Mus musculus: one gene and its partner. The protein of the gene in region 1 purifies or fractionates together with the protein of each later gene. This does not show direct contact. Links are inferred from orthologs where the notes say so. Each region holds a gene or a part of one and is shown on either strand. Other genes may lie near its edges.

What was found.
Region 2: the proteins of Sclt1 (region 1) and Kiz purify together in Homo sapiens (co-immunoprecipitation; 3 studies listed by BioGRID and IntAct, counting the BioPlex papers as one, with this or other methods). This does not show direct contact. The link is inferred for Mus musculus from reciprocal best matches to the Homo sapiens genes SCLT1 and KIZ.

What each region holds. Positions count from the first base shown.
Region 1 is NC_000069.6:41,739,397-41,743,712, forward strand, and holds the start of Sclt1 (sodium channel and clathrin linker 1), read right to left. Parts: upstream 3,119-4,316; 5' UTR 2,633-3,118; coding exon 2,599-2,632; exon of another isoform or gene 2,558-2,598; intron 1-2,557. UniProt on the Homo sapiens protein: Adapter protein that links SCN10A to clathrin. Regulates SCN10A channel activity, possibly by promoting channel internalization.
Region 2 is NC_000068.7:146,862,128-146,865,946, reverse strand, and holds part of Kiz (centrosomal protein kizuna), read right to left. Parts: intron 2,241-3,819; coding exon 2,078-2,240; intron 1-2,077. UniProt on the Homo sapiens protein: Centrosomal protein required for establishing a robust mitotic centrosome architecture that can endure the forces that converge on the centrosomes during spindle formation. Required for stabilizing the expanded pericentriolar material around the centriole.

The DNA of each region.
Region 1 (4,316 bases):
TGGCACTATAATCAACTAGCCAGCCATAAGAACCATGACCAAAAGTATTAACAGTGATCCACTAGCTGGGACTAACTCAGATATCCTCATAATAGAGAAGTGATTAATTTTAAAACTGCCAAGTATGTATAGCAATTAAAATGAACTTCAAAGTATTATAAATGATGAAGCACAGAAGAATAAATAGGTCATGATCTTACTTTTTAAAACTAAATATTGAAAAAACTAAATTAAGGTATAACATTAAAGATAGTGATTATATTTCACTATCTTTGAGGAAGAGGGAGTGGTTATAAATTTTTTGAGGTTCTCGCCATTCCCATTTCTGGACTTAAATTGTATATATTACAAGAACGTTTCACTTTGCCATGACGCTTGTTTTCTTTTTTAAATTTATGTTATAAACAAACACACATAAATATGCAAATGCATTAACCAGTTGCTTCTGTAAATGTTGGAGACATTGGCAGTATCATGCAATACTCAAGTTTATTAACATACCATTTTCTTTTAATAAAAGTCAAATCTACAAAGGAAATCCTCCTGTACCCTGAAGACATGAAGACATATTCTTAATGGACTTTTGAAAATGTTAAAGATTTACTTTATGTGTTATGAGTTTGAAGCTAACCTAGGCTATTGAGAGAATCTAAGGCCAGGTCTTCTCAAAACAAAATAAACATACAAAAACCAAAAAAAACAAAAACCAAATTAATCCAGTGAGAAGAAATTAAGATCCACTTTAGTCAATGTAGAAGGCTGGGTATGGTGGCACACGCCTTTAATCTCAACATTCTTGAGGCAGAAGGAGCAGTGTTCAAGGCCAGTGTAGTCTAAAAATCTAGTTCCAGAACACTCGGAACTGTTAAACAGAGAAACAATGCTTGAAAAAAACAAATGAACAATCAATCAATCAATCAGTAGAGAGTATGAGAGGCAAATGGAAGGATGGAGAGTCATCTTTATCTCAACAGTGGTAGGTGGTATGGCTAGTGGGACAACCCCCATCTTTAACTAGCATACAAGTTCTAGTAACAGAAAAAGCTCACAGATTCCTAACACTCATTCTTAGCTCTTCATACAAACCTTAAAATTCCATGCTTCCATTTCCTGACCTTTCAAGCCCTTGAGCTCTGATGCTTCTATGTGGGAATCTCTTCTTCCATTCTCCCTTGTGTTTTACTGACTTACAATTCAGTTTTCAATTAAAATAAATTCTCTTACTTGGGCTTGCTCAGATTTGGGACTCAATTTTTATTTAAGAATTACAGTTGCTTTATTCTTCTAAAACTCATCTTCTAAAATTCAGGTGTCTCTCCACCAAGCAAAACTCATTTACGATGATCACTCAGATTGTGATCTATCCATCTTTATAGAGTGAGGGAGGTTTTTCCTACTCATTTGCTTAAGAAATAATGCTATTGTAATGTCAACACACACACACATGGAACGTATACATATGTATGCATATATCCCACAACACTATAAATAGTGTGTATGGGGGTGGGGGAGCAGAGCATTTAACATGTATTAACCATAGGCACAGAGAAGCTAAGAATTTTGACCAAGATCAAACTTGTAAAATGTGAGAGCTAGGCAATATATGTACAGAAACAAATCTAAAGAGTATGTCCTTACTTCTGGTCTCAATGTAGAGTTCAGCATGTTTCCCCAACCTTCTCTGTAGCTCAAGAAAATACCTGAGTTTCTCTCTTTCTCTTTCAAATCTCTCAGCCTTCAATCTCTACATCTTCCTTAGGTCCTATAGGTATCCTTCTTACCTATGATTACAACTGCAGCTAACGAACTGTACTCCTCTATAAACCTCTATGTAGTGTTCAAGGCAACTGTCTTGTTTTTAAACAAAGCATTACTACCAATTCCTCAATGTTGCCAATAATTTGGACACCTAAACCTTTCTTATCAGTAAACACATAGTGGTATGTCAAGATTCTGTCCAAATGGCATCTCCTCTGGAAGTAGTTTAATAACCGCATAATAGTCAATATTTGTTTAGCTCCATGTTAGTAGATGCTATTTCAATGTTTGCTCAATAATTCCATCAACTACTTGGAATCTGATGCAAACGAGTCGGCAGTTGCTGCTGCTTCAGTGTATTTTTGGTATTTATGTATCTCCTTCTGCCAGCTACATGCTTGGAGAACAAGAATCTCCTTACATCAGCTACATGTATAGCACCTGGCACGTAATGAAACATAGGTCAACATCTTTTAAACTAACGACCTGAGCAATGCCTGGAGGTCCTAACCTGCAGGCTTGGAAACTCTTCCTGGCCATCAGCCCTCCAGTTTCTTCGAGCACAACAGACGCATTGCATTACAAATCTATTTCGTGCCTGGCCGACTCCAGTGCACGCTCAAGGAATATTCTACAAGTATTTACTAGCGTCTCAGCTTCGTTAAGTACATACATAGCCTCATGTACATCACCAAGCATTTTGTGCAGAGCACTTCTTTTTAAGTTTTTAACATTTTTCACGCTGGGACCCGACCAGCATTCACAACACATTAGTAGGTCAACGATAGCGACACTGCACCTTACAGATGAATTTTCCATCAGGGAACAGAGCGCGCTTACTTTGGTCTCTCAGTAAGTCGATTTCTGTGGCCATTTCGATATTTTAGTTTGGAGTTTTCATCACGTTTATCGATTCCTCGCAGGGGGGAAAGAAGGTATTTCTCAAACAAGCAAGCAATCGAACAACAACAAAAAAGCAGCCTCCCGCTGTGAGGGCAAACAAAAAGCTAAGGGGTCGCAGGGGCAGCCGAGCCCTGGCGCGGAGACATCAGCATCCCACTCACGCGGCGGCGCAGCCCGGCCCGCCGCTCCGCGGAACCCAGGCGACGCGCCTCAGACTCCGTTCCGCGCTCGGCCGGACCCGGCCGGACGAGAAGGGCCGCGGAGCCGCGCGCGGCCGGAGGGCGCCGAGTTCCCGTCAGACCGCGCGGGAGGATGACCCTGCGACGCGCCTGGCTGGGCGGCAGCGTCCCCGCCGGCTGAGGGGCGACGCCAGGGCCGCGGGAAAGCAGGAGCGGCCGCGGAGTCCACTCGGCCCGCCCTGCGACTTTGAAAGCGGTGCCCCAGACCGTTCCTTGGAGACGGTGACGCCGCGTCCGTCATCACGCGTGCGTCGGTAGGCGTCATTGCGCCGTCTCAGGCGCAGGCAGGTGATTGGCTATCTGTCAGGCGGTGGGCGGGTCCCTGAGGCCGCGTTGGGGGCTGAGTGGGTTGCTTGGCGCCTTCCGCAGTGGCGCAGCGAGTGTCTGTCTGAGGTAGTGTGGCGCATTTTTAATTTAATTAATTTTTTTTTTTTTGTATGGAAACTGTGATAGGAGCAGGCACTAACTAGGTAGGGATTTTCATTGCCCACCCCCGAGTCTTGGTTTTGCAGACACTAAGCGTCTGTGGGAGTCTGTGCAGAGAGGTCTGTGAGTCCTCGGGCTGAGGTGACTCAAGGTCCCCTCACCCCGCCCCCCAGTTTAGAGCTGTCGCTCCTAGGTCTGAAACTGGTTCTTGTGCCTAGAAAAGAGAACTATTGTCCAATATTTAACCCTGTGGCTTCAAGAAGGCACCTGGTCAGGATCCAGGATAGCCTGCAAATCTAGCAGGTATTTCAGAGATGTTTCTTCGGATTTAAGGAAAGATAAAATTCTGCAAAAATAAAATGAAATTTGTACTGGGGCATAAACTACCGTTCACAGTTTTACGAAGTGATATTATGAGTATTTGAGCTGTAAAGCTTGAAACATAAAACATACACAAAATATTGGGGGCAAAAGACATTAGCGATAAAAAAATGCTCACTTGAAGTTTATCATTGGCTTTTGAGGCTTTTAATTGATTATATTTTTATGCATTGAAATACAGTTTCTTTAAATATGCTCAGGGCCTGAGATAGCTTGGTTATGAAGTGCTTGCCTGGAATTCCCCAGCACCCACATAAAAAGCCAAGCAAATCCCCTTTAATTTAAAGATTAAATGGCCTTTAATAGTAGTGCTTGAGAGGAGCAGACAGGATGAGGGAAAAGGGTGCTCTCTATCCAGCAGCCTAGACAAATTTGAAAGTGACTCCAGAGTCAGTAAGTCATTGTCGCAAAAAGTAAAATCAGGCATGTTAATAAGATTTTTTTTTCCTGTTTGATAATATCTGGTGAAAATAAAGGTAGGTTAAAAAAGGTGAACAGCCTTTGAGAATGACATCCCACTGATACTCTGCCTCAAGCTCAGTCCATACACAGCTATAGACGTACTCCCCCACGTGGACACACACAAAAACAAAACAAAAGGCATGTATG
Region 2 (3,819 bases), on another chromosome or scaffold:
CAGAGGTGAGGGCAAATTCTGGACCAGGAAACGATAACTCAAATTCTAAGTGACAAGCAATTGGCTGACTTCCTCAAAATAACTAATGTCATTGAAAAAAAGAAAACAAAACATCTGAGATTAGTGAAACAAAATATATTCCAGGGACTTCAACCTAAATTGTGGTAAATGTATGATATGATAAAACAAAACCCAAGCAAGGAGAATTCTATAGTTGTGTTTTGTAAACTACAAAATTGCTAGAATATGTTTTCTTTCACTAGGCAGTCTCCCCCGCCCTTATTTCTTACATTATGGCTAACTTCTGGAGCAGCTGGCTTATACTCAATTCTCTTTTCTCAGGGTCTGCCATCAGGATTCCTGTACATCAGCATATGAACAATGCCCCTGTATATTTTTCTCCACTTTATGAGAAAAGCCTGACTCCTCAAATGCATTGTCAGAGCCCTACCATGTGCACAGGCATTCTGCACACACAGAAACACAGATCCTCTTAATAAAGGAAGGGACAGCCTTCTGCACACACAGAAACACTGAGATCCTCTTAATAAAGGAAGGGACAGCCTTCTGTACACGGGCGTCTGTGAAGAGCCCAGTTCCTTGAGATTCTTGCTTTCTGAACACTCTCTGTTCAAGGTCACCCACAATGATTCCTAAGGGATCTCTTCCCAGTGCTTAGACTGACTATCACAGTCACCTAGAAGATCAGTCACAAGGCTAGAGAGATGGCTCAGTGGTTAGCAGTGGGTACTGTCCCTGCAGAGGACACAGATTCCCACAACCTACTTTGAGAGAATCACAAGTAGCTGTGACTCCAGCCCTGGAGATCCAATGTCTCTTGTCTCCTCCACCTCCATGCACAAACCCACACACAGACCAAGTCCCACATATACCTAATTAAAAATCAGTATTAAGAAAGTAAAAAGAGCTCAAAGCAGTCACAAGCCACAGTTATTTTTTTCTACTTTTTTTGATCTAATTCCATTATGAATTGGTTTGTCTATTGGTAGTTGCCATACCTGTGTGTGATGGTCATTAATACAATTGTTCATGCTAGTAAAATGTGCACGTATGTTTCTTACTTCACTGTGTAGAAGTGATTTACTGATGTCCTATCATGATTTTTATGCTTGTCTATTATGTTCTTTTCTAAATCCACAAATAAACATCTTATAGTTTTTCAAAAATTTGAAATTAGACTAAAATAGACTTTAAAGGATCATGATGATAACAATATATATCTCAAATAATATATAAACTCTAGTGGGTTGGCTTTTTAGGGGAACTGGAAAAATCTGAGTATGAGCTAAATATTAAATGACACTGTAGATTAGTTAATTTTAAGGATGATAACATGAGTCTAATTATAAAAGACACTACCCTTGTGCTTAAGAGCTTAGGAGAGAAGTGTCATGATAGGAACAGGAAACTACTTAGAAAGAAAACCCCACATGTGTACACAAAGCAAATACTGACACATACTTATAACTGCTGTATCGAGTGGAGACAGTGTCCATTAGAATAAGTCCTTTCATTTTTCTATAAATTTGAATATTTTGCAATACAGTTAGGCTAGGGAAAAACTGATAAAGCACAAAGAAAATCCCACTCAAACCACCTTTTTTGAGTGCTCTGTTGGGTTAACCTGAACTATGACCCTTATCATTACAGACAGCAAGCAAGAAGTCCCAGCATCTGGCCCTCCAGATGGAGTAAGCTGCAAAGGTCACACAAGCATGCGTGGAAAGGACTAAGGACCAGAATGAAAGGGAGTCTCCAACAGCAGTCATTGCACCCCAGAGCCCAGAAGCAGGAAGGTGATATCCCAGGGACATGTCTTCCCTCAGTGCTCCCCACCCCTAATGGACTCCTGCCCTGAAGAGAGCAGCCCAGACCAAAGAGAACAAACAAACCCAAGGACTCACTATAAAGAGGGAATTGGTTTCAAAAAGGAACTTAATGATGCTTAAATTCACACATTCTACCAACAAATAACCCTATTCAGACAACTGGAAGTGGTGCCTGCCACTCATCTGGAAAAGCTTTTCAAAACACAGAGCAGAAAACAAAATGTTACCTTCAGTTTTTGAAGCTTCTCTGTATTTGTGGTCAAGTGTTCAACATACGTCTGGACACATTCAAACTTCTTTAAATATCCTTGGTTTCGAACCTGAGCCCTCCTCTCAGACTCACATACTTCCTTCAGGTATTTCTTTAGTTTTGCACATTTCAGCTTAGCTCTTTAAAAAAAAAAAAAAAAAGTAGAGCCTTAATAACAGAATTCAAACAAACTTAAGAACAGTTTTCTTTAACAAAAGTGTTAATGAGACGATTAAAAATCTAAGAAATTTACTCAAAGTCCAATAAATAGAATGCATATGTAGTTTAGAGAAAGAAAATTCAAATAGTTCTCACTATTGTATAGCATTGGTCACAGATTCCCATACCTCCCCTGAGAAATGCATACAATACCATTTGGTAACACAGTAGAGATTCATGTACTGTTGAGACAAGTCTCACTGTACAGCCTGGGATGGGCTGGAACTTGCAACCCTCCTTCCTTGGCTTCCCCAGTGTACAGATTACAGGTGTGCAGTACCCTGCCCCACTGCAGCATTCCCAGACACATGGGTTGGATTCCTTTCTTTCTTATTTTGTCTGCTTTACTTTGTTCTTTTACACAAGACTTCTCTGTGAAGCCCCCTAGCTGTCCCAGAACTCTCTCTATAGACCAGCCTGGCCATCTGTCTCTGCCTCCTGGGAATGCTGGGATTGAAGGTGTGAAGCACCATGCCCAGTTCTAAATGTATTTCTTAAACTGAAATATGGACTAAAGAGTAGTGTCTCTTTGGCCATATTCAGAGGCATACATAGCCTATGGGCAGTTTTTATATGACAACCAATTTTTAAATTAATTGTTTATATAAAATGAAACTATAAACTGGTAGTCCAAAAAATTAAGAAAATTGAAAATCTAAAATACAAAAAACTATCATTTAAATAATGTAAAAATGTAGTAGACACTGCAACAAACATACTACTGAAATATTTTGTAATAATATATCAACTCTGAGAAAATCTTTGGAGATTCTTATCCAGTTGTAATACTAAAAGGCATACTAGAGAGCTCAAAGTACACAACCTTCTCTTCTTAGACCAATATGCTAATTTTCGTCCTTCTTCATAACTACCTGAACCCTAAAGGACACCTATTATGGAGCATTTATAGTATTGGTACAGTAAGATATTTTATATTCTCTCACTCACATATATATTTACCTTCCCAGCAAATTTTTGGAGATGAGAGAAATTTCTAAAATTAATCAACAATAGACCTTAAATATCTAACTCTAGGCTAACAAGTTTTAAGAAATCCCCCCCTATCTCTGGGGAGGGAGTTATGTGTGAGTGTGTTTTCCAGTGTAAGTCAGAGGGCAGCCTCAGGTGCCAGTTCCTCACCTTCCATCTTGTTTGAGACAGGGACTCTAGCTGTCCACCACTGCATATACCAGACTAGTTGGCTCACAAATTCCTGAAATGGTCTGCTTTCTGCCTACCGTCTCCATGTGGGATTCCAGACATGCACCACCATGTCTGGATTTATGTGCACTCTAAGGATCTGGACTTAATACCTTAGGCTTGCATGGCCAGGACTTACTCACTAAGACATCTCCCCAGCCCAGAAGGTTTTTATCATGCTAATGACACTGTGCTTTAGCTGTGGTTGGCTGACTTCAGTTTTCCTTCTGGATAATACAATCTACCACTGTTTCCCCTGATGCCCATATCTTCATTTTTGACCCAAATGACAGTAATGGA